Linked DNA regions of Ovis aries. The protein of the gene in region 1 purifies or fractionates together with the protein of each later gene. This does not show direct contact. Links are inferred from orthologs where the notes say so. Each region holds a gene or a part of one and is shown in the gene's direction. Other genes may lie near its edges.

Region 1 (7,704 bases):
AATATATTGGGCAACTTTAAAAACTCCCATAATGGAGATGAGATATCAAAATGCCACCACCCTGACAAATCACATCTCCAGGCATTCCTGGAGGAGTACACCTTCCTGAACAGGCTGTGAGGTGGGGAGCGGAGGGTGGAATTTGTCCCCTGTATGTACCCCCAAACCCGAGTGGCACCTCCTCTCCCTTCCAAAGCCAAGCGGGTCTGTGGTCTCAGCAAGCCCAGGCAGCCTGGCTGCCAAGCCTCTGATGTCTGAGCCTCTGAACCATCCCTCATCTTGGCAGACAAGGGGCAATCAAATCAAGTGCTCCTTGTGGAAACTACTTACGGAACTCATTAGATGCCTCTCTGCCAAACCAGGCACACCCAGGCTGGTCCACCCACTGCTCTGCCCAGAAGGTCTTTTCCCACCCTAGTTTCTGCACGTCTCCAAGCCCTAGCAGTCTGTGAAAGCCCAACTCAAATGACACTTCCTCCACGAAGGCCACCATGACTTCCCCTCCACCCACATCCCACAAATTCCTCAGGAGTGGATCCCACCCCTCTTTTAATATTTAATAGATCTTAGTTTTCGTCTCTCCTTTCAAGAGGCTCTGCACAGCATATTTTTAAATCAGATTTTCTATTTTTATTGGAGTATAGCTGTTTTCCCGGAGAAGGCAATGGCAACCCACTCCAGTACTCTTGCCTGGAAAATCCCATGGATGGAGGAGCCTGGTAGGCTGCAGTCCATGGGGTCGCTAAGAGTCGGGCACGACTGAGCGACTTCACTTTCACTTTTCACTTTCATGCATTGGAGAAGGAAATGGCAACCCACTCCAGTGTTCTTGCCTGGAGAATCCCAGGGACAGCGGAGCCTGGTGGGCTGCCGTCTATGGGGTCGCACAGAGTCGGACACGACTGAAGTGACTTAGCAGCAGCAGCAGCATGGCTTGTGGGGCCTTAGCTTGCCAATCAGGGATTGAATCGGAGCTACAGCAGTGAAAACACCAAGTCTTAACCCCTGGACTACCAGGGAATTCCCCCTAAATTAGCCATGTTTAATCCAGGTTTTTGAGAGGTGGGAATTCTCTTTATTTTCAATGTCCTCTAACAGTAATCTAGCATTACTTTCCATTACAAATGGAGAAAAAACACACCACAGTGATATTAGCCATAGCTGTGACTTGTCACCAATAAAAATGACAGATTTTTCATAGCATATTACAGAAATGACAGAGAACTTGAAATATGCTTACATCCATCACTGTCTCAAAAACGCAGTAATTCTTAGGCCTCCATCAGATCTTGTTATTTGTTCTTGTGTTAAAGAAACACAGATATAACTTTATCACAAATTTGTTTTCTTTATATTTTGTACCTGTATTTCAATGTAATTGATTGCCATGGAACCCTGTGCATTTTATTTTGTGCATTTAAAAGCATTACTCTGGGGACTTCCCTAGTGGTCCAGTGGTTAAGACTCCATACTTTCTCTGCAGGGGGCACGGGTTCGATCCCTGGTCAGGAACTACAATCCCACAGGCAGCATGGTGTGGCCAACACATAGAAAAATAAATATATAAAAATAAAAAAATTACTCTGGAAAGACCGGGCCCTGGAGGAATAAGAAAGGCTATTCCCCACCTCTATGTGGATCAACCCTCTCCATCTGTGTATTCCTTCCACTTTGGCCTCTCATCAGCAGGAGGTCTGCAGGCCTGAGTGTAGGAAGCATTGCCTCAACTATTTTATTTTTTTTAATGAATTTTAAAAATTTAATCCTATTAATGTATTTTTGGCTGTGCTGAGTCTTCATTGCTGCTCGGGCTTCTTCCTAGTTGCAGTGAGCGGGGACCACTCCCTAGTTGCGGTGCACAGGCTCCAGGGGGCTCAGGCTTCAGGAGCTGTGGCTCGGTCATCGCGGCTCCTGGGCTCTGGAGCACAGGCTCCATAGTTGTGGCACAGGAGCTTAGTTGCTCCGTGGTGTGTGGGATCTTCCAGGATCAGGGATCGAACCGTGTCTCCTATACTGGCAGCGGATTCTTTACCACTGAGCCACAAGGGGAACCTGTTTTCTGAACTTTTAAAATAGTTACAAGTTTACAGAAAAATTGCAAAGATCACTCAGAATCCCCCTATACTTCCCTCCCAATTTGTCCTTTTGCTCATATCATGACTATGGTACATTTGTCACAATGAAAGAGCCAATATTGATACATTTTTATGAACTATATTCCATAACTTATTTGAATTTCCTGTTTCCCCCTAACATCCTTTTTCTCTCAGGAACACGTCCAGAATACACAGGACATTTAGTTATCATGTCTCCATGGACTTCTCTCGGCTGTGACAATTTTTCAGACGGAAAGTAAACTTTCAGGGAAACTGCTTGACAACCTTGAGAGTTTCAGGGGTTTCTCTTAAGGCGCTATGTAGACTGCGTCTCCATTGGGATTTGTCTAAAGTTTTAATAATAATTAGAGTGGGACTGTGGGAAGGAAGACCACATCATATCAATGGTATTTACTGCCGAACATGACATCACTGTTGTTGTTGACCTTGATCACCTGGCTGGGCTGGTTTTCATCACTGTACCCTGTCAAGTTACTCTTCTGCTCCCTTTGGAAGGAAGTCACTTGGCACCCTCCACACGTGCAGAGTGGGAAGCCACTCTCCATCTTGGAGAATGTGCCAAAGCTGCTTAGAATTCCTCTGAGTGGGAAATTTGTCTATTCTCCATTTATTTATTTATCCAGAGATTTATTTATAACAGCATGAACTCATGGAAGTTTGTTTTATACTTAGGGTTAAAACCCAGTGCTCCTTTAGTTATTCTGTTGCCATCCTGTTCTTTTTTAACATTATGGAGGTATAGTTTACATATACTAAAATGCACCATTTCAAGTGTTAATTACACTAGTCTCAGCGAACACCTCCATTTGGGGAACCCACAGCCCGAGCCCCTGGCACATCACGTGAGTGTCCATGGGCTGGAACTGAATTCGTGGGACAGTAGACTTGGAGGACATCAACTTCCCATTTTAAGTTTAGAGAAGCCCAAGTTCCCCACCGAAGGTAGAGTCACTAAGAGGCAAAAACATGCCCTCTGCCCTCTCTCTCACTGCCCTTTCCTCCAGGAGCCCCTAGGGGGTCAGACTGGGGCCCAGAGGCCACCCCCACGCTGTCCGGGACGGGGCCGAGTACTGGCCGGCCTTTTGCGCTCGGGGGCGGTCCGAGCCGGGGGCGGGCGGGGACCGGACCCTTGGCCTCTGTCCCAGGGGGCGGCGCCGCGTCGCGAATGGTCCGGGTCCCTCCCAGGCGCGAGCGGCGCAGGCGGTGCGCCGTGGCCGCGGAGTCATGGACGGGAGTGGGCCCTTCAGCTGCCCCATCTGCCTGGAGCTGCTCCGGGAGCCGGTGACACTGCCCTGCGGCCACAACTTCTGCCTCTTCTGCCTGGGCGCGCTCTGGCCGCACCGCGGAGCGGGCGGCGCCGGCGGCCCCGGAGGCACGGAGCGCTGCCCGCTGTGCCAGGAACCCTTCCCCGACGGCCTCCAGCTCCGCAAGAACCACACGCTGTCCGAGCTGCTGCAGCTCCGCCAGGGCTCGGGCCCGGGGCCCGGCCCCGGCCCGGCCCCTACCCCGCCGGCCCCGGCCCCGGCCCCGGCCCCCGAGCCGGCAACACCCAGTGCGCCGCCCAGCGCCCCGGAGCCGTCGGCTCCCAGCGCGCCCGAGTCATGGCCGCCCGGTGAGGAGCCGGTGCGCTGCGATGCGTGCCCTGAAGGCGCCGCCCTGCCCGCCGCGCTCTCCTGCCTCTCCTGCCTCGCGTCCTTCTGCCCCGCGCACCTGGGCCCGCACGAGCGCAGCCCCGCGCTGCGCGGACACCGCCTGGTGCCGCCGCTGCGCCGGCTGGAGGAGAGCCTGTGCCCGCGCCACCTGCGGCCGCTCGAGCGCTACTGCCGGGCCGAGCGCGTGTGCCTGTGCGAGGCCTGCGCCGCCCAGGAGCACCGGGGCCACGAGCTCGTGCCACTGGAGCAGGAGCGCGCGCTCCAGGAGGTAGGGCGCGGGCGCGGCGGGTGGGGGCGGGTGATGCGCCTCGCGCGCCGGCCGAGGACCCCTCATTGCTTTGCCATCCTTAATTCCCCTCTCTAACCTGAGGATCTCTGCGGTGCCTTCCAGCCCTGACCGTCATCCGCTCGCTGTGGGACATTCCTCTCGGGATGAGAATGGGGGTTGGAGAGACCCAGTGAGAACTCGAAAAGGATGCAAAAATCGGGCTGGAAGACTGAGGCTGGGGCGGAGCCCATGGGGTGGGGGGTGGTTAAAGGAGCCTGGTGGGGTCCGCAGGGTCCCCGGGGGGCGGCCGGTGCCTTGGCCGGGCTCCTGCCGGTCCCGCTCAGATCTGCCTGGGCTGAGGGACTGGATGGGTGTGGCAGACGACAGGAGTGCGGCGGAGGGTGGGCTGAGCACACAGAGCGCCCTGTCTGGCTGTCCGGGGGCTGGTGGTGGGCGCGTGTACTGGCTGTCCGGCCGTTACCTCCGCCCCGTTTCCTTTGGCCCCAGGCCTGGTCTTGGCGCCTCTGGCCTTGGGATTTTCCGTCTCTCCTGCCTGAAGTGGTGACTCATAAGACCCAGGGGATTTGCCCGGAATCCCCATTTTTCAGGCTTGGACTGGGGACACAGACTCTTGGGGGACAATGATTCCCAGACCTTGCGCAGGGCCCCTCCTCACTTTCTGCTTCTTTCCCGCGGAGGGAAGTTCTCAAATCACAATGAGCAACATGGTGGACCCGAGGGCCCTGGACTTGCTCACCAGTCAAAGAGGGGGAGGCAGGCAGCCCACGGCCCACCAGCCTGCCCTCTCCTAGACATTCCGAAAGGGAACCAGCCTGGGCTTGAGGCCCCTCTGGTATATCATCACCACTCCCAGTACACCTGGACCCAGATACCACTCCTGGTCACCCCCACCTCCCCCTCGGTAAGGCCCAGGACCCTACTTCTAGACCCCTTTCACCTTGAGGGTGTCATCCACAGGCCGAGCAGCCCAAAGTCCTGAGCGCTGTGGAGGACCGCATGGACGAGCTGGGTGCGGGCATCGCTCAGTCCCGGCGCACGGTGGCCCTCATCAAGGTCAGATCCCGTGCAACTCAGCCCCCGTCCACCCCTGCCCCAGGCTCCTGGCGCTGTGAGCTTTCAGCATGGCACCGTCCACTCCAGAGAAGCCCGTGCCCAGGGCGTGGCCCAGCTCCACTGAGCCTGTCTCCCCCCTGACCTGGCACAGACCCAGGGCAGTTTCGGCTGGTGCCTCTGTCCACCCCCCGCCCTCAACAAGACATGGTGGGAAGACGGGGGTCTGAGAAGGTGGCCAAAACGTCTTCGGGGCGTTCTTTGTCCTCACTGCCCGCCCCCCACTGTCCTATGCAGAGTGCAGCCGTGGCAGAGCGGGAGAGGGTGAGCCGGCTGTTTGCCGAGGCTGCAGCCGTCCTGCAGGGGTTTCAGACGGACGTGCTGGGCTTCATCGATGAGGGGGAGGCCACCATGCTGGGCCGCTCCCAAGGCGACCTGCGGCGGCAGGAGGAGCAGCGGAGCCGACTCAGCAGGGCCCGCCACAACCTCAGTCAGGTCCCCGAAGCCGACTCGGTCAGCTTCCTGCAGGTGAGGGCGGCTCTGCGGGTGCAGCGGGCACCGAAGCCGCAGGAGGAGGCCGCGGGGGGCTGCCTTCGTGGCTGTGCTGGCCTCCTGGCAGGCTGTCTGTCTCATGCCCGGAGGAGCTGCGGCGGCCAGCTCAGCCTTAATGGGCATCTGTCTGGCACAGGAACTCCTGGCACTCAGGCTGGCCCTGGAGGAGGGGTGCGGCCCCGGGCCCGGACCCCCGAGGGAGCTCAGCTTCACCAAGTCCTCCCAGGCTGTGCGCGCGGTGCAGGTCGTCCTGGCCTCGGCCTGTTCCAGCCAGTGGGAGCAGCTGCGGGGGCTGGGCGGTGACGAAGACGGGCTGCAGAAGCCAGGCACGGAAGGTGGGCGCCCCCTGCAAGTGACTCACCCTTCCCCAGGCTCCCCGCACAGGGCCCCAGGCCCGGGGCCCGCTCAGGAGTGGAGGATGGAAACTGTGCCTAGAACAGGGTGGGACCCCAAATCCTGCCAGGGACTCAAGCCACCACCCTGTAATCACGAGTCAGCCCCTTTGGCCGCAGCCCGGGGGGCAGAGAGGGCCTGTCCTGGCACACCCTCTGGCTTCAGAGAGGATGAAGCCCAGGGAGGACATGGGATGTAGAACAAGGACCAGCATGCATATGAACACAGGGTACCGTATTTGGGCATGTGCCTGTCCCCAGGTGGCCTGGGGTGCTGAGAGGATGGAGGAGGAGGATTTCAATCACAGGTTCAGAGATGGGTTGCCTTGCACAGCCCAGCCACAGGCAGCTAAGGAGGCCCTCACCGACTGTCTCCTCTTCGGCAGCAGACGCTGAGTCCCAGGACCCCGACAGCACCAACAACCTGGAGAGTGAGGCTCCTAGGGATTACTTCCTCAAGTGTAAGTTGACACCTGGGCTTGCCAGGATGCTTACCTGGGCTCTCCCAAGGCTGCTGGGCTGGGCCCTAAGTGCCCATGGGCTGGGATTCCTGTCCCCGGTTCAGAGGGTGAACTAGGTCAGCTCACGGGGGGCTCCCCGTGATGGCTGAATCATGCTCATTACAAAGGACGGGAGAGGTGTTTGGGGGAGGTGGGCCCCTCGGGGAAAGGCTGCCCTGCCTGACCTTGGACCTGAGTCCTGCATTTCTCTCCGGTGTGTGGGGGCAGTTGCCTACATAGTGGACTTGGACAGTGACACGGCCGACAAGTTCCTGCAGCTGTTTGGAACCAAGGGCGTGAAGAGGGTGCTGTGTCCTATTAACTATCCCGAGTCGCCCACCCGCTTCACCCACTGCGAGCAGGTGCTGGGCGAGGGCGCCCTGGACCGGGGCACCTATTACTGGGAGGTGGAGATCATTGAAGGCTGGGTCAGTGTGGGGGTCATGGCCGAAGACTTCTCCCCACAAGAGCCCTACGACCGGGGCCGGCTGGGCCGCAACGCCTATTCGTGCTGCCTGCAGTGGAACGGACGCAGTTTCTCCGTCTGGTTCCACGGGCAGGAGGCACCCCTGCCGCACCCCTTTTCACCCACCGTGGGGATCTGCCTGGAATATGCTGACCGAGCCCTGGCCTTCTACACCGTGCGGGACGGCAAGATGAGCCTCCTACGGAGGCTGAGGGCCTCCCGGGCGCGCCGGAGTGGCACGCCGGCCTCCCCGGTTGACCCCTTCCAGAGCCGCCTGGACAGCCACTTTGCGGGGCTCTTCACACGCAGACTCAAGCCTGCCTTCTTCCTGGAGAGTGTAGACGCCCATCTGCAGATCGGGCCCCTCAAGAAGTCCTGCATATCCGCGCTCAAGAGGAGGTGATGCAGGGGCCCGGGGCCGCCTCCCGCTGCTGACCCAGCTCCTGGGAAACTTGCTTCTCTGCACCCCTGGTTTGAACCAGAGAAGGCAACAGCCTCGGACCCCCACACATTCCCCAGCCTTCTCATTCCTAGAGGCCTCCACCTTCTGTACCCAAGGCCTTCCACCTCTCAGGGAGGAGGCCCCCCCAGACCCTGTCCCCCTGCAGGCCTTGTTTCTGGGAGAGGGAACCGCAGCTTGGACAGTTCCAAGCTACCCTGACCCCTCCTCTCCCGGGTTCCTGGGA
Region 2 (7,860 bases), on another chromosome or scaffold:
TGATTGTTCAGAGGCTAACCACAGAAGACCAAAAAGTGTACAGTGGCCCAGTTCCTGGAAATCCCCAACTCCTTCCCCAGGATTAGTTAGAATAATTCTCCCACTCTAGCCTTTGAAATTACCCAGTCCATAAAAATTAACCATGCCATATTCTGGCATGTTTTGCCTTCTGAGATGGCACACTCTGCCTGTGGAGTGTCTTTTTCACTAAATAAATCCACTTCTTACCTCTCACTTTGTCTCTTACTGAATTCTTTCTGCAATAGACATCAAATGTGTGATCTCAATTTAAAAGAAGCCAGGTTCAAGTCTCAGCCTGTAGGTTGAAGTCCCAATCTGGCTTCCACCTGGGTTTGAGTCCTGGCACATGGGTTCAAGTCCCAATCAATGTTGCATGGTTTCAATTAGGTCAAAACTTACAGAGACTTTTACTTGAAGGGTCTCATTTCACATGCCAATGGTTCTAAAAAAGAACCTCCTGTTAGGTCTGCCCAATGCCCCTTTAACAGCACACTCCTGTTGGAACATTCTTCCCTTCAAGGTGGTCAAGACTGAGCAGAAATGGCTTCAAGAACTATTAAAAATTCTACTTTTTCTTCTTCCACTTCTTAGACAACCCAGGGCTGCTCTGGGGAGACCGGGATTATACCCCGAGGAGCCAACTCGGGAGCCCCTAGTCCCTGTCAGTGCTCCTCTGCTTCACAGAGGCTGATCGGGGCATTCCCTTTTACCTACTGTCTTCCTTCTTGCTGGAAGCACATTGATTGGGCCTGCACCTTGGTCCCTCAGCGTATTCACCTGCATTCATCCGTCAGTGCCATGGGTTACTCAGTGTGCCCTAGGGGGCAACAGCCAGGAGAGTGGTTTGTCTCTTTAGCTGCTTGTCCTCCTTTTGTTCCTCAGCCAATATCTGGGTTATTGAACACTCCCAACAGAAATACCCACCACGTGACAGTCTGGGGGCATTTGGACCCACTGCTACTTTCTGCAACTTCCCTTAGATGTTGGGGGCCACTCTGAGGTGTAAAGTATAACCACTGGGTCGCTCTCAGGGGCATCTCTAACAGCTGTATACTGTCAGAGGCATTCTCTACCTTCTCTAAGAATGTTGATGGGTTTTCATTGCCTCCTGTTGAGTGTTTCTGACTTTTCCCATTTATAGGTCTCCAGGGAGCAGCCTTCGTCCCTTTAAGTAGGAGACTTTGATGATGCTCAAGTCGGGCCCTGCCCAGTCTCTATGGAATCCCATGTAGGTCAGTGGTGGGCACCACTCCTGTAGCTGGTCTCCAGATCTGGTGACTGGGCTGAGTTTGGTGTTGCTGCAGCCCCATAAGGCACTGTACTAATGGGATCTTGTTCCACTTTTCTAATCTTTTGCAATAAAGATCCAACTGCAGGACGGTGTTGCAATTTAGAGACCTATCTTCTGGCCACTTTTCTTGATTTTCTATTGAGGACTGGGGCCAGGCAACATTCCTGAGAAACGCCATCTGGTATTTTGCATGGGTTTATACCCAAAAGATTTCCAATTTACAATACATTCCGATGAACAACAATTGGGAACAGAAAAGTTGTTTTCCATTCTGATGTACCACAGTCAGCCACTCTCAAAGGCAGCCATTCTCAAGGGCTGACTAATGTGAGTTATAGATACCAGAGTTTGCTTGTCCTGAGCCTGAAAGTAGATTTTCCTATGGTTGCTAAGGAACTCAATTTAAATTAATTTATTAACAGATAAGACAATCAGACATTGAAGACGAGACAAACAAGGCAAAACATAAACTAGAACCCTATGACTCTAAACCAGAGTGAACCCAGACCTGCAGCCAAAGCCTCAGAACTCGAACCCCAGTTTAGTAGTCAGCTTCTGCCACCTGAAAGGGTGAGTTCAAGAACCTTATCCACCCATGTGTTCCCTGCATGCAAAAGTCTCTTGTTTCTTATTGAAAAGGGACTCAAATTGCCCCCCACCCCCATCACAGAAAAAGGTGGCTTCTAAACCAGAGGTCTGCAGTCTCCCACCGGAAGGAATGCAACCTCTCACAGTAGTAGGAAGGGAGTTCTCATTCACAGAGACCTCTGGTTCCTTAGTGGCAGGAATGCAACCTCCCAGTGATAGAAATCAGGACCTGGTCTGGAACCCAGGGTGAAATCAGAAACCCAAGCCCAACTGAGTGCTTCTCAAATTCTGGTCTAAAAGGTGAGGCTATCCTGACAACCCCAGCCATTGTAGCACCAGTTCTGAATTCTACTCACCCTCTGAAGTCTACTGGCATTGAACAGAGTTGTGCAGGTGGCCACTTGGCTCACAGAGACTGAGCCAGCGAACAGTCTGAACCAGTAGACACCCAAGAGAATGATGTCTGCCCAAGAGGACCTGGACAATCTGACCAAAATCAGAAGCAAATTAGTTCACTTCACTCCAGTGTGGCCAGCTCCCCTTGTCCCTGACCAGGGCACATGTCCTACCAGAATTGCCAGAAATTGTACAGAACTCAGAGGGCCCATCTTTTGGGGTGCTTGTAAGGAGACAAGGGCTAGCTCTCAAAGCAAGATCTCACTAATAGCACATGCTCAGTAAATGTTCCATGAATAAGTGCATGAACTGCCTTAGGACAGAAGCAATGCGCCTACAAAACCCTCCAGATGTGGCCTCGGAGCCTCTGATCTCAGTATGGTATCCAGGACACCCTTTCCTGGGTCTGTGAACATTTTCTCTGCCAAGTGCAGTTACTGGAAAGGAAGGTCTCTACCCAGGACCAGCAGGACTTTCTGAGGCCTTCCCCCATATGAGCTCCTCTTTGAAGTACCTAGATAATATAGATAACAGTATTTGATACAAGTTTCCTGAGTTATTTTGTAGACATGAATCCGCCTCCCTCCACCCCTCCACCAAATGAAGAAACTGCTTGATGACGATGAGCGCATAGCCCCTGCCACTGCCCCCTGCGGCTCCCCGCCCCCCTCAAATCTGCCCTTAAAAATGCTTTGCCAAAATGCTTTGAGGAGCTGGAAGCTTTTCAGGGTACGAGCCACCTTGTTTCCTTGCATGGCCTTGCAATAAACCTTTCTCTGCTCCAAACTCAGACTGTTTCACTTTGTTTGGCCTTACTGTGGGTTTGGCACAGGAGCTCGCATTAACAGGTCCCTTTAATAGCTCTCAGACTACAGGAATCTTGAGAACAGATCTGAATTAAGGATCCAAAACCAAGCCATCGGACAGTAAGGAACAGAGGAATCCAGTCTCTTGAAGGTGGTCAGAAGAATCAGACGACAGGACAAGCAGGGGTGGATAGAGGGCAGGGAGCAGAAGACTGTGGCGGTGGGAAGCACAGCGGTTAGAGCCTGAACCCGGAGCAGCTGGGCTGCAGCGCGGGCTTCTCACTCACTAGCCTCGCTGCACTGAGCACCGCGCTTAACCTTCCCAGCTTCCGTTTTCTATCTTAGCGTGGTAGGGCGGGAATCAGGATTGCACCTCCGTGGCCAGGTCGTCGTGCGGACTGAAAAGGACCACGGCCCAGAGTAGCGCTCTACCACGCTGGAGGCAGCTGGGCAGAGGCGTGGCGCGGCGACAGTGAGGAAGCGGAGGTGGGGGTGGGGGCGGGGCACGAGGCGGGGGTACCCCCTGCGGCTGGGGGAACTGAGACTGGACGAGGATCCCGGACGTCATACAGGGCCGGAGAGGGCGGGGCCGCAGTCGGAGGGGCGGGGTCCGGGGCGCGGAGGTGTTCCAGGGGGCGGAGGCCGGTGACCCGCGCCTATAGGCTACCGGCCCCCGGACTGGAACCTGGCCCGCTCCGGAGCCGCTGCGCTGACTCTGTGCTGCGGCCGCGTCCCACCGCTTTCCACCGCCCGCACCTGTCGCCCAGCGAGCCGCAACCGGGCCCCAGCATGACGGACCAGGCACCCTTCGACACCAATATCGTCACCGTGACCCGCTTCGTCATGGAAGAGGGCAGGAAGGCCCGTGGCACGGGCGAGATGACCCAGCTGCTCAACTCGCTTTGCACCGCGGTCAAAGCCATCTCCACTGCCGTGCGCAAGGCGGGCATCGCGCACCTGTGAGTCAGGCTTCTGTACCCCCCAGCCCCCACCCTGGCAGAGTCCTCTTTCTCTCTGGCTGGGGATCTACCAGGCAGTACGATGTCTGGTCTTCTGCCCCTGCTGTCTGTCTGTCTCTCTGATAGCTGAGATCCCCACACACTGTCTCTGGTAGCTCCTCTGCAGAAGCTCAAACCACACTCAAGCTCTAGTTCCCCCCTCCCTCAAGCTTGTGGGTGCCCACCTCGGGGGACTGTCTCACAGTCCATACCTGCCTCCACCCTGCAACCGGCGCCCCTGGGCTGAGCAGCCTTGGCACCTCTCTCGGCCTCCTCCTGGTGAAACTGACTAGCCCCATGGGCACCTGGCCTGCCCACCACACCCACCCTAGCCTCGAATGGGAAAGTGCTGGTCCCCGTGCCTCCCTTTCCGGTTTTCTATCCTTTTGCTTTCATTCCCTTAGAAATTGGGGTCCCAAGTCAGGTTTCTAATTGAGTATCTCCTTGACCCTGAACAAGTCTTGTTAAGAAGCAATGGGTAAGCCAGGCTGGGAGGAGGCTGAGAGGAAGCCTGCAGTATTTAGCGCCTTCAGGGCTTCAGTGCTGGTGTGCACGGGGCTGCAGAAAGTCTGGGGTGGGGCTTGAGATGCTGGATTTCTAAGTTCTGTGGTAGTAGGGCTGCTGGTCTGCAGATCACATTGTGCATAGAAAAAGAATGACAGGACACAGAGATTCAACAGGTACCTTCTAGTGAGGCTTTTACGTTACTAAGACAAATACCCTTTGGTTTATTCTGGTGTGCACAAGTATTTTATGTTTAGACTGGTCCTCACTTTAGCTGAAGGATACTTAGGTTTTCAGATTGCTCATACTCCTTCCTAGTATTTCTCATACTTAGGAGCACTTCATAAGCATTGTACACAGTGCTCATAGCTGCTGAAAAAGCCCAGCCCCGAAACCTGGATTCCTTATCTCGTCAGTTCTTCACCTTTGGTTTTACGGTATGGCTTGGTAGAGCTAACTTAAAAAAAATTTTTTTATCTTATATTGGAGTATAGTTTATTAACAATGTTCTGCTAGTTTCAGTTGTACAATAAGGTGATTCGGTTATACATATATATGTATCTTTTTAAAAAATTTTTTCCCATTTCGGTTATTACAGAGTATTGGCAGAGTCCCCTGTCCTATACAGTAGGTCCTTATTGGTTATCTATTTTAAATACAACAGTGTGTACATGTCAATCCCAAACTCCCAATCTATCCAAGCTGACTCTTAAGGCAAGAGTTTATCATCATTTATTTGCAGATGTCAAGCAAAGTTGGGCCCTGATGGGAGAGGGATTGGGAAGTATGTTAGGAAGGTGGTGACTCCATTACTATTTCACCTATGGACCTTCTCAATACATGTCTAAGGAGACTTTACTTTAGGAAACATTCAATTAAATTCTTACTTTAAATGTAACATACAATAAGTAAAAGTGTCCTCTCAGCTTTACTTGACTTTGAAAACCAGGGGGCTTATTTAAAAAGTGAAGGGAAGTGAAAGTAACTCAGTCATGTCCGATCCTTTGCGACCCCATGCACTGTAGCCCACCAGGCTCCTCTATCAATAGGATTTCCTACTGTTTTAAAAAAGAGTGCTTGTCATTTTTGTATTGTTTAAAAATGTGTCAGCACCTTTCACAACCCCAAAGAGACTCAGAAACGCAAGATCTGCTTTGAGGTGCATCTTTCCCACCTTAGGGCTTCCCCGGTGGCTCAGCTGATATAGCGTTCGCTTGCAATGAGGGAGACCCAGGTTTGATCCCTGGGTCAGGAAGATCCTCTGGAGAAGGAAATGGCAGCCCACTCCAGTACTCCTGCCTGAAAAATCCCATGGATGGAGGAGCCTGGCAGGCTACAGTCCATGGGGTTGCAAAGAGTCGTACATGACTAAATGACTTCATTTCTTTTTTTCCCACCTTATAAGTAACCTCAGATAGTGGGACCATAGGTAGTGGGATATTAGTTGAACCTGGACAAAGGGTGCCAATTTTGGCTGTATGAATTGTGTATATTTTTAAAACTAGACACCTGTAAGCACTAGGTTAAAAAATAGTTTTTGCTATAATTATAAATTCCTTTATATGTTGTGCGTGTGTGTGTGTGTGTGTGAGTCATTCAGTTGTGTCCAACTCTTTGCAACTCCATGGACTCTACTGTCCGTGGAATTCTCGAGGCAAGAATACTGGAGTGGGTTGCTGTGCCTTCCTCCAGGGGATCTTCCTGACCCAGTTATTGAACTTGGGTCTCTTGCATTGCAGGCAGATCCTTTCCATCTGAGTCACCAGGGAAACCCTTTATATGTTACTCAACAAAAATTCAAACCACTCAGAAGAACACAAGGGGAAAAGTGAGACCCACCATTACCCATTTCCTGGGGTATCCACTATTCATAATTTACTGGGTTTCTTTTTTTTACTAGATACTTCTCTATATTCATATAAATTTATACATGGATAAGCACTTCCATGTGACTGTTTGTAAACAGCAAACAAAATGGGATCACACTTGACATCCTTTCTGCAGTTTGCTTTCACTATTCAACTCTATATGATGAGCATCCTCCAGTGTCAGGGCATGTAAACTCACCTCCTCCTTTTTAACTGCTGCATACTGTTCACTAGGGTTTCCCAGGTGGCACTAGTGGTAAAGAACTTACCTGTCAGTGCAGGAGACATTGGAGAACCAGGTTCTATCCCTGGGTCAGGAAGATCCCCTGGAGGAGGGCATGGCAACTCACTTCAGTATTTTTGCCTGAAGGATCCCATGGACAGAGGAGCCCTGCAGACTGTAGCTCATAAGTCTGAAAAGAGTTGGACACAACTGAAGTGACTTAGCACACACAGTGTTCCACTGTACATGAGCTATTTGACATTTCCCGTATATTTGGGCGTGTCACTGGTCTTTCACTATTTCAAAGAGCATTGTACCCATGAAATGGGCATTTCACATGGTCCTGTGGATGGCTGACGGAGAAAGGGTAGAACCTGAACATTCAGTACTCCTGTGGGAAAGTAAGTTTGACTGTCTCTGTATCATATGTAGTTGGGGAGGGGGCCATAAGACAAGATCTTAACTTGGGCTCCAAATTATGCTTATTATCGGCTTTGATATTCTGGATGAAAAGGCTAGCGTACCTGCAAATAACTTGTTAGTGCTGCCGACTTGCCCTAGTAGGGCATCTAGCCAGAGGGACAAGATGATTGCAGACTTTCAAGAACCTTGTGGGACCAGTTTATGGATGTCAGCCCTGACTCCTCATCAGGCAGATCAGGAGTTTAAACACAGCCTGGAGCTCTCTCTCTTAAATTTTAGAAGTTACTGAGAGATAAGAAAGATATAGAGCTTATGCTTTAGGGAAAATATTACATGTATAAAGTTAGAATACAATAGAGAATTTTTTCTAAAGAAATTTGGCCACATAAGCTGAGTTTTTGAGGCTGGAGAAAGGTAGGAAGATGATTCCAGGCTTAGCTGCAGTACTCGAGATCTTGGTTCCTACCTGCAGGGGGTCTTCCTTTCAGAATGAGGGATCTAGGTCCCTGACTAGGATCAAACCTGGGCCCTTTGCATTGGGAGCATGGAGTCTTAACCCCTGAACCACCAGGAAAGTCCCAGCAATAGAGATTCTGAAAGATACTTTTGTACAGTTGGCAAAAATATGTGGATGTGAGAGATGGTGGCCCAGCATGATGGGCATTTGTAGTGGGCAGGCAAAGCTGGTCATAAGGCCTGTTGGCTGGGCTGCCGTCTGAGGAAAGGTACAAGCTAGGAAGAT
Region 3 (7,781 bases), on another chromosome or scaffold:
AAGAGGCTATTATATCAAGCACATTTAACATCAAGCACATCTAAACATTTATTTGGATAATATTAAGATATCTTTCTTCCAAATCTTAAACTGTTCATCTTACAACCTATGAGTTTCCTCATGAATACCTGCAATACCTGAATGTTCCTGCAAACTGTATTCAGAAATAAATAGTGGGAAGGTACAGCTTAATTGGCAGTCTATGGTACACTACAGACACCTTAAAAATTTCTTTATGCTCATACTTCCTATTTTTCTACCTCTTCCATTATAATTGACTCAGATTCTTCTATAAGTGTAGAACAGAGAGAAGAAAGATGTGGTAGCCTAAAGGAAGGAAGCAGAATGACAGGCAAGACCTTCAAGCTCTTTATAGTCCACTGGTGACCCAGGTTCTGTCTTATGAATAAGAAAATTTGTTTTCTAAGGGTGCTCCAAATACGGGCAGTCACATGGGCTTTTCCATTTTAGAATGGTAATGAGTCCACTAGCATGCTAATCATGCTGCTAGCCTGTAGATGTTAGCATGGATGTTAGCAATCCACGTCTGAAGCATTATGGATTCCAATTAGGTAGAATTTCAAAGATATTTGATCTAATTTCCTTCTTTTTTCTTTTAGTAAATGTGGGGAGAATTAATTAGGAAATATGTCCTCAGATAATACTGGGACCAAATATATAAGTGAACTTTATTTTTACTTTGTATACCTGGAAAGGATCCTATCTTCATCTTACTCTAAGAAATCCTAACCACAAAGATACTGGGTAGAATAACACTGAAGTTCCTTGAAGAAGTGGCCTGCCAGTGATCATTAGGTGATATTGTTTGATACTGTTATTAGGTCCCAGACCTGAAAGTGAAAGGAACAGAATCTTCCCAAAAATGTTGGGAAAACTCCAGATGGCTTTTACAGCTTTAAAAGCAGCTATGTGAAAGTCACTCAGTCATGTCTGACTCTCTGCAACCCCATGGACTTATACAGCCCATGGAATTCTCCAGGGCAGGATACTGGAGTGGGTAGCCTTTCCCTTCTCCAGGGGACCTTCCCAACCCAGTGATGGAACCCAGGTCTCCCATATTGCAGGCGGATTCTTTACCAGCTGAGCCACAACAGCAACCCACTCCAGTACTCTTGCCTAGAAGATCCCATGGACGGAGGAGATTGGTGCAGGCTACTGTCCATGGGGTCGCAAAGAGTTGGGCACGACTGAGCGATTTCACTTCACTTTATGTGAAAGTCGCTCAGTCGTGTCTGAGTCTTTGCGACTGTTAAGTCCATGGAATTCTTCAGGCCAGAATACTGGAGTGGGTATCCATTCCTTTCTCCAGGGGATCTTCCCAACTCAGGGATCGAACCAAGCTGAGCCACCAGGGAAGCCCAAGCTAAATGGCAGGGACAGAATAAATGGGTTGCTTTTGATCTAAGAGTTGGAGCAACAAAGCGGTTTTAGGGGATACAAACTAAGCACTTGTATTTTAAGAGATACAAAGTAGGATACAAGCTCCTGGGATAAAATAGAGAGGCCCCATCACAAATTTACCTTCTTATCCGCCAGAACACTATTTGGATAATATTTTCAGTTGTTCTTTTTAAAGTACCTGCCTCTAATAATGAAGTGTTTGGTTTTTCTTTGTATTTACCAGAGCATCTTTTTAAATCTCAGATCTCAAATCTATCTTTTTTTAAATCTCAAATCTTAAAAATTTTTAAAATCTCAGATCTTTAAACTTCTGTTCCTGCAAATGTGGTGTAGGTCAAATCTCTGAACAGGTTAAGTCTCTGACGAGAGAAAGGAAGGACGCCCCAGCCAATAGGAGACCCTGCTGGTGATGTACTGCGCCTCAGTTCTGATTCATTGGCCGCCTAGGGTTTGTCATTCTATCCCCCGCGTCTGCAAACAGCGTGGGTCCTCCGAGGTCTAGCTAGCTAAGCTGGATTTTGGTCACCTGAACGCTCAGTTTCAACTAGGTTTAGCAGATCTCCAACTCTTAATATTGGAGAAGGCAATGGCACCCCACTCCTGTACTCTTGCCTGGAAAATCCCATGGATGGAGGAGCCTGGTAGGCTGCAGTCCATGGGGTCGCCAAGAATCAGACACGACTGAGCGACTTCACTTTCACTTTTCACTTTCATGCATTGGAGGAGGAAATGGCAACCCACTCCAGTGTTCTTGCCTAGAGAATCCCAGGGACTGGGGAGCCTGGTGGGCTGCCGTCTATGGGGTAGCACAGAGTCGGACACGACTGAAGCGACTTAGCAAGCAGCAGCAGCAGCAACTCTTAATATAAGCAGCTGTTACGTTTTTATTGTCTTCTGGAATTTGAAAAATCTTTCTTTTCTTTAACCTCACTGGAGGTCGTTGGAAGTCCTCAGTGACAGAATCACGTGACTGTCTAACAAGTGCCAATAAACACAATGTGGAACCTCACGAGCTACAGGCTGGAAACCGGCCAGAATCTCAGAGCATGTGCCTCCTGTGTGTATCAGTTGCACTCGCATGTGGGTGGGTGGCAGTACGGTGTATGGGTAGTTGCCCTTCGAGATGCGAGGTGTGTAGCTGGGGTACCTGCGTGTGTCTCCAAGGGTCCCTGGGGCTAGGGTGGCTCTGGAGGTGTGGAGCCTTGGAGGAGGGGGTCTGGCGGCGGCCTGACACCGAGTTAACTTTTGAGCCGCAGCAGCCAGGCCTCGACCAGGCCGCGACCGTGCCCGAGAGAAGTCGAAAGCACGGGGTTGTCCTTCAGCTTCTGTGGACTGCGCCTAAGCAGGGAGCGGTTTGTGTATTTGCAGACAGATGGCAGCGCCGCGCCGGGAGGCCGGGATGCCACGGGGGAGCGTCTGAGTTCCCGTCGGCAGACTGCCAGGCTTGGAGGGCATCTCGATTCTTGGGGCTCCTAACAATCACACACTCCGTCCAACCCAACGCCGGGAGATGAAGGCCCCGGTTCCAGTTCCGATCCGGGATTCGCGATGCTCCCTCAAGCCTCGGTCTGAGGCCGGGGTAGCAAGCCGACTGCGGCGAAAGATACCGGGTAGGGCAGTGACGTCATCTGCGCCCGCCCCCTCCCCCCTCTCCCCTTCCCCCCTCCCCCCGTCCCCCGCTTGCCGGCCGGCGCTGCGGTTCCTGCCCAACGACATCCGGGTCTCTCCAGCTGCTCCACCTCGCCGCAGCTGTAGCGAGGGCTGAGCCGACGGGGAGGGGTGGGGCGGGGCGGGGCAGTCGGAGGCGTGGGGGAGGGGCAGCACGGCGCCGTCGAGAGCGCGCCTGCGCGGGGACGCGCTCGAGGCGGCGGCGGCGGCGGCGGTGGTGGCGGCTCTAGGGGCGGGAGCGCGCGCGGGAGGGAGGGAGCTGTGGTCTCGGCGCCCGCCCGCCTTGCAGCTTCGGGTGCTCCGGCGGCTGCAGCTCGGGAACCGGTGGTTGGGGAGGGGGGGGGGGGGGCGCCAGGCAGGTGGGGCGCGAAAGCTATGACTCTTCGGCTCTTCCTCCTCCCGGACCCGCTCTCCGCCTCCCGCTCCAACGCCCGGATGATCTGAGCCGCGAGGGCGCCGAGAGCCGGGGGCCCGGACGCAGCCCGGCTCCTCCCCTCCTCCGCCCCCTCCCCGGCCTGACCTGGCCGGCCGCCGCCGCGGTGACCCCCCTCCCGCCCCCTCCCCGGCCGCCGTCGCCGCCGCCGCCGCCGCCTCGGCGGACCAGGGACTTGCCCGTCCGCGGCTGCTCCGGGTAAGCGCGACGCTCGGGCCGACGGCGGGCGGGAGGGCGGGCGGCGTGGGCCTGCGCGGCGGTGGCCAGGCCTGGGGCCTGGGGCCTGTAAACAAGCCGGGCGTCTGCCCGGGCGCTCCCGGGAGGAGACGCGACAACTCCACCCCCTGGCCCGGCCTCCTCCCCGGAGCCCGGCGGCGGGCGGCGAGGGGTTAACGCTCCTCGAGGGCGGCGGCGGGGAGGCGGGGGCGGGGTGTTGGTGGCGGCTGCCGGGGGAGGGTCGCGACCCTCCGGCCGCCCAGGCCCGGCTCGATGTTAGTAGCGGGCGACGCGGACGAGGCCCGCGGCCCGGCCTGTCCCGAGAGCAGCCGGCGGAACTTTTCCCGAGCGGGGAGGGGGCGTCCGGCGCCCCCACCCTCCTGGGCTCCAACCCTTGGAGCGAGGCCGAGAGATAGAAGCGGGGGGAGGCTTCCTTCGGACCGGACTTGGCCTCGAAACACTAAATTTGGGGGAATTTGCTTCAGGTTTTTATGGAGACCGTGCTGAGAGTGAGGTTCCTTCAGAACTCAAGTCAGTGATGCCTCCAGTTCATTCATTATTTAGGCATCGAACAAATCCATTGAAGTAAATCGAACTGATTCCTCTTTTTAACCTATAAAAGTTCCTGATGCTAGAGTTTATTGAGGTGTGGTTCTGCTTTGCTTGTACATGTTAAGTATTTTCTTGAAGGACAGCTGGCTGTGGAGAGCCTCTGCCAACCGCAGTTTTAGATATGTTTTGAAAATCTCATCACCTGAGTTCCCCGCCGCCCCCTCCCAGAGTACCAAGTACCGCGATTCTTAAAAATCCACAAAGGTCATACTTCAGCTGTGCAAGCCAAGAAGTCTATTCGCCCCCCGCCCCCAACTCCCAACTCTAAATTTTCTACTGATTGGAGTAATAAGCCGAATGCATCTTAAGAAGTGACTGGAAGGGTATGGGAGATGTAAAAACCTATGGGAGGTGGTTTTTGTTTTCCCGGAGTAGATGATTTTGACATTACTAAAGGAAATTAGAAATTTTAAAAAGTTGTTCCTAGGAAAAGGTTTAATCTTTTCAAACTTGGACGTTGGGGTTTTAAACACAACCACTTTTTAGGTGCAAAGAACTCTGAACAGAGTCAGAGATTTTTAGCAGTGCTCTTCTGAGCCTTAGCAGTTCCAGAACTCTCAGTTCAGCAGGGATTGCTCCCTACCTGCTCTTTAACAAGAACAATTTCACTTTAATGTTTTTATCTATTTACATATTGGGCCTTTTCCAAAGTCAGTGGTTCTGTAACTCTTTAGAGAGTAGGAAACTGAGTAGGGCAATCGTGACCCACCCCGCTCCCTGTTTTGTAAGTGTATTTTGTTTCTTTTGATTTTCTTGATTGATTTTGTTTCTTTTGACAATTTGAAGCACAAAGTAACATTTCTTGTTTGATGTTTAGGTCTGTTCTTATGTGTAACTCACATGTATCTGTTTAAACTTTCAATCATAAAGTGATTACTTTTAACCTGCAAGGTACAGCTATACTACATTTTGGAAACTAATGAACTGCACATAGAAGTTAAGACATTTTTGATTAGATATCACTAGATATTTTTCACATCAGTGAAGTAATTATTTTATGGAAGAGGTATATTAAGACTGGTAAACTTTGGCTAGGTACCTCAGTATATATTTGAGAAATAAGATGGTCGAATGCTTGAGTCATCAGAATTTCTTTTTATGTGATGTGTGTGTGTGTTAACATATAAAGGTGGTTTATATTTTAGTTTGAAGAACAAAATTGATGCCTATAAGTACAGTATAAACTGTTGAAAGCAACACTGCACTAGGAGTCAAGAATTGTTTGGTCGTGGTTGTGTTCCAAACATCAGCAAAGCCAAAGGGGTAGATTATCAAATGTTTCTTATTCTCAACATTGTGTGTTTAATAGGCTTTGACTCAATAGCTGTTATGTGCCAGGCACTTAGATGTTTCAGCATTCTGGCCCTGATTTTCTTTCAGGGTTGTGTCTTTCTTGAAAGAATTTTAAGTCAGTGGTTTATTTAGGAAAGATATTCCTATGGGTAGCCTTTACTGATTTTTCTGTTGGGAGTGAGAAGTCTAGAAAAGCTCTTGGGAGGAAGGCAGATGGAGATTCCGCAAGAGACAAAGGGTGATTGAGCCTACAGGTTTGAACAAGCACAGGACCCTTGGTAATTTGATGTGAAGGGCATTTTAAGAACACATTGTGCAGGTTTTCCTGTCAGTTCAAGCTGGGTCTTGCTTATCTTGACTCGTTAATAAACCTTCATTTGAAAATTTGTTCTCTAATATGCAGTTTTTTCAAAGAAATTTATAGTACACTGTATTGTCACATGGTAAATATTGCTAAGCAGTTAGTAAAAAAAACCTACAGTCTTTGAATTTCTTCACATAACACTTAGACTTTATTAGAATGGCTGATAGCATGTGTAGCTGATTCTGGTTTAACTGCAAATGCTTATTTGTTTGAAAATTTAAAACTAAAGACTGACATATGTCCATAGGGAGCTTGTTATCCCTGAAATGCTCATGCCTGAGTGCTAGATTAATCTCTTAAGATGTGAGTTGATGATCATGTAGTTACAATTAAATAACTAATTGTAAGGTGATATTTTGATGATCCCCTGAATGACACTTGGGCACCTGACTCTGAGTGGTACTCTTGATTACTTTCCATCCTTACCCACGCAGAGGAAGGAGGCATCCCTTTAAGAAAATCTGTGCAAGTGAAGTCCTGTAAGAGTCAAATAGAAGATAAAACAAGGTGTGGCCCTGTGAAATAAATGGACCTTAGGGTAAGGAAAAGGTATTGTGAAGCAACTAGGTAAAAGTTTGTGCCTTCCTGTACCTTGGTTAGTAACTTTATTCCAGAATATGTTCTGTCTTCCATCTCATATGTTGGTGACAAACTTTTAAAGATTGAGTTGCTTCATTTTCTATTTCATTGTTAGCGAGGAAATTTTCTGACTTGGGATTATTAACTAGTGTTATATGAAAGTAATTTGGGTTAAACTGTATCAGAAGGAGAAGGGGACGATAGAGGATGAGATGGTTGGATGGCATCAGTGACTCAATGGACATGAGTTTGAGCAAGCTCCAGGAGTTGGTGACAGACAGGGTAGCCTGGTGTGCTGCAGTCCATGGGGTTGCAAACAGTTGGACATGACTTAGCAGCTGAACTGAACTGAATATCAAAATCAAAAGTTTGATTACCTATATTCTTTCTTTTGTTCTTTCCAGTGCCTAATTTGTTCTTATGCACAATAAGAACAATAATTTTATATTTTAGTATGAATCTCTAGAATATATTTCTTGCTGATTTTGACTTTTGGATGTCCTAGCTATCTGTGTATCTTTACCTAACTTTTCTTTTGCTGAGGTAGGTAGAAGGAGCTAGAGAAAGTAATTAAGAGAGGTGAGCTTCTGTATACCTTTATCTAAAATGTGATAAGAGTTTTTAGAATTTTTGTAGAAAACTGAGGGAAAGATAATGAATGTTAATGTGTGTTCATGGATTGTTTATAATATATGTGTGTTTATAATATAAATTAAGAGATGTTTTAAACATTCGTTGAGTAAATGTGATAAGGGAGTTTCAGTTTTTATATTTCTTAATATGTTTATCTGGACTCCATTTTCTTAGTTTATGTAGTATTCATATTTAGGATATGGATTGAAAGTCACTAGACTTTTTTCATGGCTGATCTGATTTGAATTAAAATCCTATGAAACCAAACTACTTCTAGATACATAGGAAAGGAATAATAAAATCTGTAATTTATTGACCATTTATTTGTGTGAGGCTTTAATTTTCACCACAACCGTCTAAAGCATATGATGTTATCTCTGTGTTGCAGATCAGATCTGTAAATACAAAACTCCTGAGCAGGCTTTTCCCAGTTAGGTTAGCCTTGTTCTTCCTAGGAATCAAAATTTGAAAAGCTGAATGTTATGCTTCTGATACAGATTCCTAGAATTAAAAGGGACCTTACAAATTTATGTAGTATAAGTCTTCCAGTGCAAGAGTCCC
Region 4 (7,141 bases), on another chromosome or scaffold:
GCGGTCCATCAGCCATCTCCGTAGTTTTATTACCGTTGACTTTATTGATCCGTCATTAACAATAGAGTAAGTGTGATTGAAGCTGATGGGTTGTTAACTGGATCAGGCAGATTCCTGGCTCTGGTTTTGGCACCCTTGCTAAGTATCTTTTTGTACCCTGGACGGAGGGACACTCTTAGTCTGAATTAATGGCAGAGTATCATGAGCACATTAAGAATGTCTTTTTAGAGAAATAAAATGTGAAAATGACTATCAAGTAGAAAGTGTCAAAAAAAATGTCATTGTGGCTCTTAGAATAGCCGTGTTTTACATCGATAATGTAACTCCAGCTTATCCTTCACTGGAAGTGCTTCAAAGATCCCCGAGATTTACGTGCTACGAGAATGGGTGCATGTTAGGAAATTAGCGCTGATGAGAGGTGTCAGGAGAATCGGTGATAACCAAAAGGGCTCTACATTAGAAGTAGCTGAAAGAAGCTAATGGTGTGAAAGATACTTTTGTTCCCAAACTGGCTTTTCTGGTTGTGTCTCACCTCCCAAACAGTTGCCTTCTGTAAATTGTTTGTCATGGACCAGCTGAAGCCTGAAAGGTAAGTTTTCATGTTTCTTCACATAGAAGAACAGATTGGTGCTGCAGAGTCGAATTATTCCTGCAGCTCAATGGAGAAATTGGCTTAGCCACTACTAGAGAATATGAGTGTTGCAGACCAAGTCCCTGAAATGACCAGGACCAAGACTGGCAGGGAAGAAAGTACTTTTCCATATTGAAAATGAGTTAAAAAAGAAAAAAGAAAAAAACATAACCCAGGCATACGTCAAAATCATCGTCTTTCTTCATTTTTCTGTGTTAAACTGGTGTGATTCTGTTTTCCAAGCTTTTCGTTAGATGCAGGATGAAGAGAAGTGACGGAATAGGCTGTTTTCTTTGTTTGTGGTGTCCTCAAGAAACAATCCACCGTGAAATGCATAGATTTAAAACTGTTACACTTAGTTTGAAATTCAAAACCCAAACTTTATATGAAGCTAGCAATAAGATGGCAGCATGCTTTTTTTTCTTCTGATAGAAGATCTTTGTGAATAGTTGGTTTCTTCTTAAATGTGGTCAGTCAGCCGTGGAACAGTGTTAATTTACCTGCGATTGAAACCCAAATACTGAGTAAACAGTGTAAGGGGCGTTTCCCAAACTTTAATGTGCCTGCAACCCTCCTGGGGATCTGATTAAGCTGTAGATGCTGATTGCCCTGGCCTAGCTTAGGGCCCAACCTTCCGCACTGCTAGTAAGTTTCCAGATGATGCTGGTCCCTGGGCCATCCTGGGACTTGCAAGGATGGAGATTTAGGCACCAGACCACAAAGTGGCATTTATTTATGAACTGCGATCAGAAAGTCATCTCAAAGTGTTTGGATTTATTGGGACGGGTGGACAGTTGTCAGCCCAGGAATAGATGGCGTTTCCCATACATGCTGGAGCCAAGTCTGTGGGTGTGATCGCTTTATAGCAGTCTCAGTGGGCTGCAGCTTTCTACTGAAATAAGCGTTTGATGATCTGCTTAACGACTTTGAGGAAGTCGCAGCTTTAGGCTAAAGTGTGAAGCAAAAACGTGTCGGTCCTCCGTGGATTAAAAACAACAGGAACGCGTTTGCGCAATTGAAATCGCGACCGTGTTCTGCCTCGTGCCGCTGTGTGTTACAACTGCTCTCCCCCTCTCCGTGCAGAGCATGATCTCCTCCATCGTGAACAGCACTTACTATGCAAACGTCTCAGCAGCGAAATGTCAAGAATTTGGAAGGTGGTACAAACATTTCAAGAAGACAAAAGATATGATGGGTAAGCAGAGCGCCGCCGCCGCTGCGGTCCCGCGCCGCCGCGTGTCGTGCGGGGGTTTCTCCCAGTCACGTGTGCAGCCAGGCCTTGTGATTGCCCAATTAGAGGGCGATTTAGACTGTTTCTTGGAGGGTGGGAGTGGGTCTGAGTATAATGAGATAATTAAATTCAATAAATGTTTGTGTTTAAATCAGCCCAACCGACTTGGTTGTCAGACACGCAGGAGATGGAGGCGAGGGGGGGTGAGCTGTCATTTTTTTTAACGTCTCAGTGAAGGCCTAACCAGGCCTGGAGTAGTGAGCAGTGGCTGTGGGTTCCCAGAGATAAGTCATGCTTTTATGGGGTTTTTTGTTTGTTTGTTTGTTTTTCTTGGTTTTGTTGGAGAAGAAGGGAAAGTGCCTGATTTTACACCCAACGTTTAAAGACGTCAAACTGTATCTAGAGTCTCCGCAGCGGAGATCGGGCAGTGACTGGAGCGGTTGTCTCCAGCCCCCGGGGTGGGGGCTTGGGTGGGTCTGCTGCCTTCTGGACCGCCCATCACCCAAGGACCGTTGCATCGTTCCTCCACGCTGCACGCCGGGCCTCCTATCGTAACGTGTAACTTTAGGTCAATATTTGTTACTCAGGGAACACATTACAATCATCTGCAGTGTGAAGCGACAGATAAGAGTTGTGTGTTGTACCTGAGGGTTCAGATTGTGACGTTTTTTCCCCCTGTTGAGTCTGCTAGTGTTTGTAGAAGCAAACCCTGTGATTAAGGTTAATGCTTTAATTTCTATTAACGTTTTCTTTCACATACTTGTCCCCTCCAAATAAATGTTTTAAAATAATGGAGGAATGGGATGTTTAATATGCATAGCGTTACGTCATGTTTTCAGTCTATCTCTGTTTACTTCCATTGCATTGATTTAATAAAACAGCAATAATAACGTCTCCTTAAGATTTTAAGAGGCAGGAGAACCTGAATTTTGAGCCTGTTTTAGCTTTTAATATTTGAAGCAAAATCATCCATCTACCAAAACAGATTCTTTGCCTTTTATAGCTTAGAGCTGTAATGAAGACAATACATCATTTTTGGGAATAATTGCTTGAATTACTGTTCCCTATGAATGGCCCACTTGGGCTGATAGCAGAGATGGAAGTTTCTTTCCCCGTTCTTAGTTATATTTTGCATACATCAGTGATTATAGCAATATGATAAGTTCCTCTAAATATAAAGCCAGAATATTTAGTAAAAAGAGAAATGATGATGAAAATCAACCCAGAGTCCACACATGGGAGGCATGGTATACTATTTATTTATTGGCTGCACCGCATGGCTTGGGGATCGAACCTTGACCCGCAGCTGAGAAAGTATGGAGTCTTAGCCACTGGGCCCCAGGGGATCCCCATGGTGTGCTATTTAGGACTCGCTTACCTACCATCGTCAGCTCCCAGTTCGAGAGCATCAAAGCTGTCTCTTCCTTGTAGCCACAAAGCGTTTGACTCGCTTGCTGCTCACGCTCAGCCAGCCCACATGAGGTGTCTAGCTAGGGGAGAAACATTCATCCCGGGCGGGTGGTAATAAATTGCAAAAGGGTGACATCACCTTGTACCGGGATGACTCCCCGCCTCTCCCTTGAAAGATTGTCATTAGCATCTGGTGATGGCCATAGCTTCTTCAGGAAGCATTTGGATTTTAGCAACTCTGGGTGTACTGGCTTGCAGTATGATAAATCGGTTGCTTCATTCTAAGTAGTGGTTGCGGCTCTCCGTGCCACCTAACTTGAGAGCTATAGCTCAGTGAAACAGGACGTGTAAAATAGTCAGCCCAGGGGTCAGTCTGAACTCAGTTATCATTACTTATCATTATGACCTTTTATTGATTATATCAATTACCTTTTTAAACTCACAACTGGTTTAAAATGGAACATAAGCTAATATTTAGACCATTTTTCTTGCAAACCTTTTTCTTGGAGTGGTAACAGGTTTTGTATGTGTGAAGTGAAGTGAAAGTCAGTCAGTCGTGTCTGATTCTTTGCAACCCCATGGACTGTACAGTCCATGGGATTCTCCAGGCCAGGATACTGGGGTGGGTAACCTTTCCCTCCTCCAAGGCATTTTCCCAGCCCTGGGGTAGAACCCAGGGGTAGAATCCACATTGCAGGTGGATTCTTTACCAGCTGAGCCACCAGGGAGTCTAATCTATGTATCTCCAAGTATTTTTTCATTGTAAATACACATATGTATAGGGCTTCCCAGGTAGTGGTGAAGAATCCACCTGCCATGCAGGAGACACAAGAGGCTGAGGCTTGATCCCTGGGTCAGAAAGGTCCCCTGGGGGAGGAAATGGCAAATCACTCCAGTATTCTTGCTTGGAAAATGCCATAGGCAGAGGAGCCAGGCGGGCTACAGTCCATGGGGTCGCTCTGTGGATATTTCTTTTTTTCTACAACTGCATATGTTTTCGTAGCTTCACTCTTTCCAGTCACCACTAAGCAACTAGGGTTTTTCTAGAATTTTTTTTTGGTGGGCATCTGTACCACCTGGCTTGTGGGATCTTAGTTCCCCGACCAGGGATTGAACCCAGGCTCTCGGCAGTGACAGGACCAATTCCTAACTACTAGATTCGCAGGAATTTCCCTAGAAGCTGTTTTCAAAATAAATGTTAGTTTTATAAGCCTTCGTGGGATCAGAAGTAATAGTGAATAATAATTTGACCCCAAAACTAGTCACATAGAATGTGAAAATAACTGATTTGGGGCCTTAAATCTAAACCACATCACAGCATTAGAAAGTGTTTTCCCCCTTTCAGAGTCGGTGGCCGGGTGCAGAACAGAAAGGTAGCCTCACAGCCGGCTGGGTTCTGTCCTGAGATGTCCTGGTTTCCTGGACCCTCAGTGCCCCGTGCCTCTCCGTCCTTAGGGAAAGCTCGGAGCTCCTCAGCGGTGCGGAGCATCGTTGGCTAACGTGGTTTTCCCTCTCGCCCGCTGCAGTGGAAATGGACAGTCTGTCGGAGCTGTCCCAGCAGGGTGCCAACCACGTCAGCTTCGGCCAGCAGCCCGCCCCGGGGAGCACGGCGGAGCAGCCCCCCTCGCCGGCCCAGCTGTCCCACGGCAGCCAGCCCTCTGTGCGGACGCCGCTGCCCAACCTGCACCCTGGGCTGGTGTCGACGCCCATCAGCCCTCAGCTGGTCAACCAGCAGCTGGTGATGGCCCAGCTGCTGAACCAGCAGTACGCCGTGAACAGACTTCTAGCCCAGCAGTCCTTAAACCAACAGTACTTGAACCACCCTCCCCCCGTCAGCAGGTCTATGAACAAACCTTTGGAGCAGCAGGTTTCCACCAACACAGAGGTGTCTTCCGAAATCTACCAGTGGGTACGTGATGAACTGAAACGGGCAGGAATCTCCCAGGCAGTATTTGCACGTGTGGCTTTTAACAGAACTCAGGTCAGTCCTGTTCATTTGAACATGGTTCTTCTCTGTCTCGCTCTTCCCCTTCCACCCTGGCTGTGCTAACCTTTATTCTTGTGCTGTGTACAGTGTTAACATCGTCTCCTGCTCTCCATATGATCTGTTCCTGGGGGTGCCTACGTTTAAGCGCTTCTCTCCTCCGCAGAAACCTCTGCTACCAAGAGAAGGCTGTGTACAGATGGATCCTGAATCAGGGGCCTTGAAAGAGCAAATGTCAAAAATATTTCAAGCTGCCGTTACCTATGCTTTTACCTAACGGAAACAGAGAGTGTTCGTAGCCGAGGGGGAGAGGTTTCAGGACGTGGCCAAGGCCACTGGTAGGACTCCAGGCCTCTAGCCGACTAGCTTCCTTTCCTAGACCAGGGATCAGCCAGACCTTGTCTGTAACGTGACACACAGTACACATTTTAGGTTTTGAGGGCACAGTACCCATAGAAGTAAGTGCATGGATGTGGGTGTGGTGTTTCAGTAAAACTGTTTATAAAACAGGCGCTGGAGTGGGTAGGCTTGCCCTAGGAAGCCTTGTTTGAGGCTTCTCACTGAGTTTTGCGTGCACCCCTAGAGTTCACGCCTTTGTCCTCCTGGGCAAATTCCTGTGAAGATCCTATCGGCAGGGAGGACACTTAGGACCTGGAGAAGGGTGATCCAGGGGAAGGCCTAAGATAAACGCTGTTGAAAAGCCCTAAACAAAGAGTGCTTGACAGGATTTTTTTTTCCTTTTTTTTTTTTTTGTCACTTAGTACAATATATATGGTGTTTATTTCTGGCCCAGGCACCCACAGACAGCCCCACCCCACCCCCCAAAAAAATAACCCAGAAGAGCATGTAACTGATTATCGGTGAGGACATGATGTCTTTTAACTTTCCTGTTTTGCCACTGTTAACTTCTCTTGTCAGTTTTTTCTTTTTAAGCCTGACTCATACTTTCCTTTCATATTTAGGTTATTTTATTACATGATTATAAGAATAAAATCCTGGTACAAAAATATCTAGTATTAATTCCTTGCTGGCAGAGTTTCCATACCTAGGAGAATCCCAGCTGTGACTTATTTTTGGCTTGCCTTCGCTGGATTGAAAGTTAGGAGGCCTTACAGAACCTTTAACTGAGTGTTTGTTTTGGGGTTCTTTAACTTTTTTTTGTACATCACTTGTCTGTGTTTAAGGGGATGGTTCAAAAGTTTTTTCTCAGGTGGCAAAATTGTACGCGCTTGCCTAGTTTTATATCTTTAACTTAAAAGTATATTCATTATTAGCTGGTACATTTAATCTGACACCCTTATTCAGTTGCAGGGTCGTTATTTTAGAGAAATAAAGTGAACAGACGAAAGAATCAAGTCAGCCTTCTCGATGCTCCTGTTTCTGGCAGCTGATATCAGTACTTTTGTAAACAGCAGCTGACTACCCACAGTTCTCAGTCCTGGGCAAAAAGGCAGGCAGGTCTCTGCATAAAAGTTCAATAAGATGCTTGTTGAACTGAATTGAATGCCCACAAAGATAGCATTGACATGGACACAGACGACTCGCAGATTTACTGTGAGTGAATTTTGGAAGTTGAGCACATTGTTATTTCTTAAAGGACTGAGGAAAGTATGTTTTATATGGTAAAGAGTGTCCAGCTAAAGGAGAGAAGGGTTAGGTCACTCCCATCGGGGCATTTCTTCATCTTTGGGGCTCTCATGTCCCAGGCAGGCATCACCCTGGAGAGTGACCATTTGTTCTTCTTGGGTTTTCACGTGGACAGATTCCATAGATACCAGTAGGGTTTGATGCTGGGAAAAAGGCAGAGTTCTCCCTTTTTCATGCCCTGTCAGTCTCTCCAAAAAGGTAGTTATTTCTGTGGTTAGCATCGAAAACAGTGACTTAA

What was found.
Region 2: the proteins of TRIM47 (region 1) and FBP1 purify together in Homo sapiens (affinity purification with western blotting; 3 studies listed by BioGRID). This does not show direct contact. The link is inferred for Ovis aries from reciprocal best matches to the Homo sapiens genes TRIM47 and FBP1.
Region 3: the proteins of TRIM47 (region 1) and PPM1A purify together in Homo sapiens (affinity purification with western blotting; 3 studies listed by BioGRID, with this or other methods). This does not show direct contact. The link is inferred for Ovis aries from reciprocal best matches to the Homo sapiens genes TRIM47 and PPM1A.
Region 4: the proteins of TRIM47 (region 1) and SATB1 purify together in Homo sapiens (affinity purification with mass spectrometry; 4 studies listed by BioGRID and IntAct, with this or other methods). This does not show direct contact. The link is inferred for Ovis aries from reciprocal best matches to the Homo sapiens genes TRIM47 and SATB1.

What each region holds. Positions count from the first base shown.
Region 1 is NC_056064.1:55,081,414-55,089,117, forward strand, and holds the start of TRIM47 (E3 ubiquitin-protein ligase TRIM47), read left to right. Parts: upstream 1-3,310; 5' UTR 3,311-3,341; coding exon 3,342-4,037; intron 4,038-5,015; coding exon 5,016-5,111; intron 5,112-5,405; coding exon 5,406-5,636; intron 5,637-5,796; coding exon 5,797-5,995; intron 5,996-6,438; coding exon 6,439-6,513; intron 6,514-6,780; coding exon 6,781-7,421; 3' UTR 7,422-7,704. UniProt on the Homo sapiens protein: E3 ubiquitin-protein ligase that mediates the ubiquitination and proteasomal degradation of CYLD.
Region 2 is NC_056055.1:31,786,272-31,794,131, forward strand, and holds the start of FBP1 (fructose-1,6-bisphosphatase 1), read left to right. Parts: upstream 1-3,789; 5' UTR 3,790-3,891; coding exon 3,892-4,061; intron 4,062-7,860. UniProt on the Homo sapiens protein: Catalyzes the hydrolysis of fructose 1,6-bisphosphate to fructose 6-phosphate in the presence of divalent cations, acting as a rate-limiting enzyme in gluconeogenesis. Plays a role in regulating glucose sensing and insulin secretion of pancreatic beta-cells.
Region 3 is NC_056060.1:70,531,629-70,539,409, forward strand, and holds the start of PPM1A (protein phosphatase 1A), read left to right. Parts: upstream 1-2,488; 5' UTR 2,489-2,545; coding exon of another isoform or gene 2,546-2,552; 5' UTR 2,553-2,932; coding exon 2,933-3,032; intron 3,033-3,343; exon of another isoform or gene 3,344-3,721; intron 3,722-4,017; exon of another isoform or gene 4,018-7,781. UniProt on the Homo sapiens protein: Enzyme with a broad specificity. Negatively regulates TGF-beta signaling through dephosphorylating SMAD2 and SMAD3, resulting in their dissociation from SMAD4, nuclear export of the SMADs and termination of the TGF-beta-mediated signaling.
Region 4 is NC_056054.1:276,511,763-276,518,903, reverse strand, and holds part of SATB1 (DNA-binding protein SATB1), read left to right. Parts: intron 1-1,714; coding exon 1,715-1,826; intron 1,827-4,798; coding exon 4,799-5,253; intron 5,254-7,141. UniProt on the Homo sapiens protein: Crucial silencing factor contributing to the initiation of X inactivation mediated by Xist RNA that occurs during embryogenesis and in lymphoma.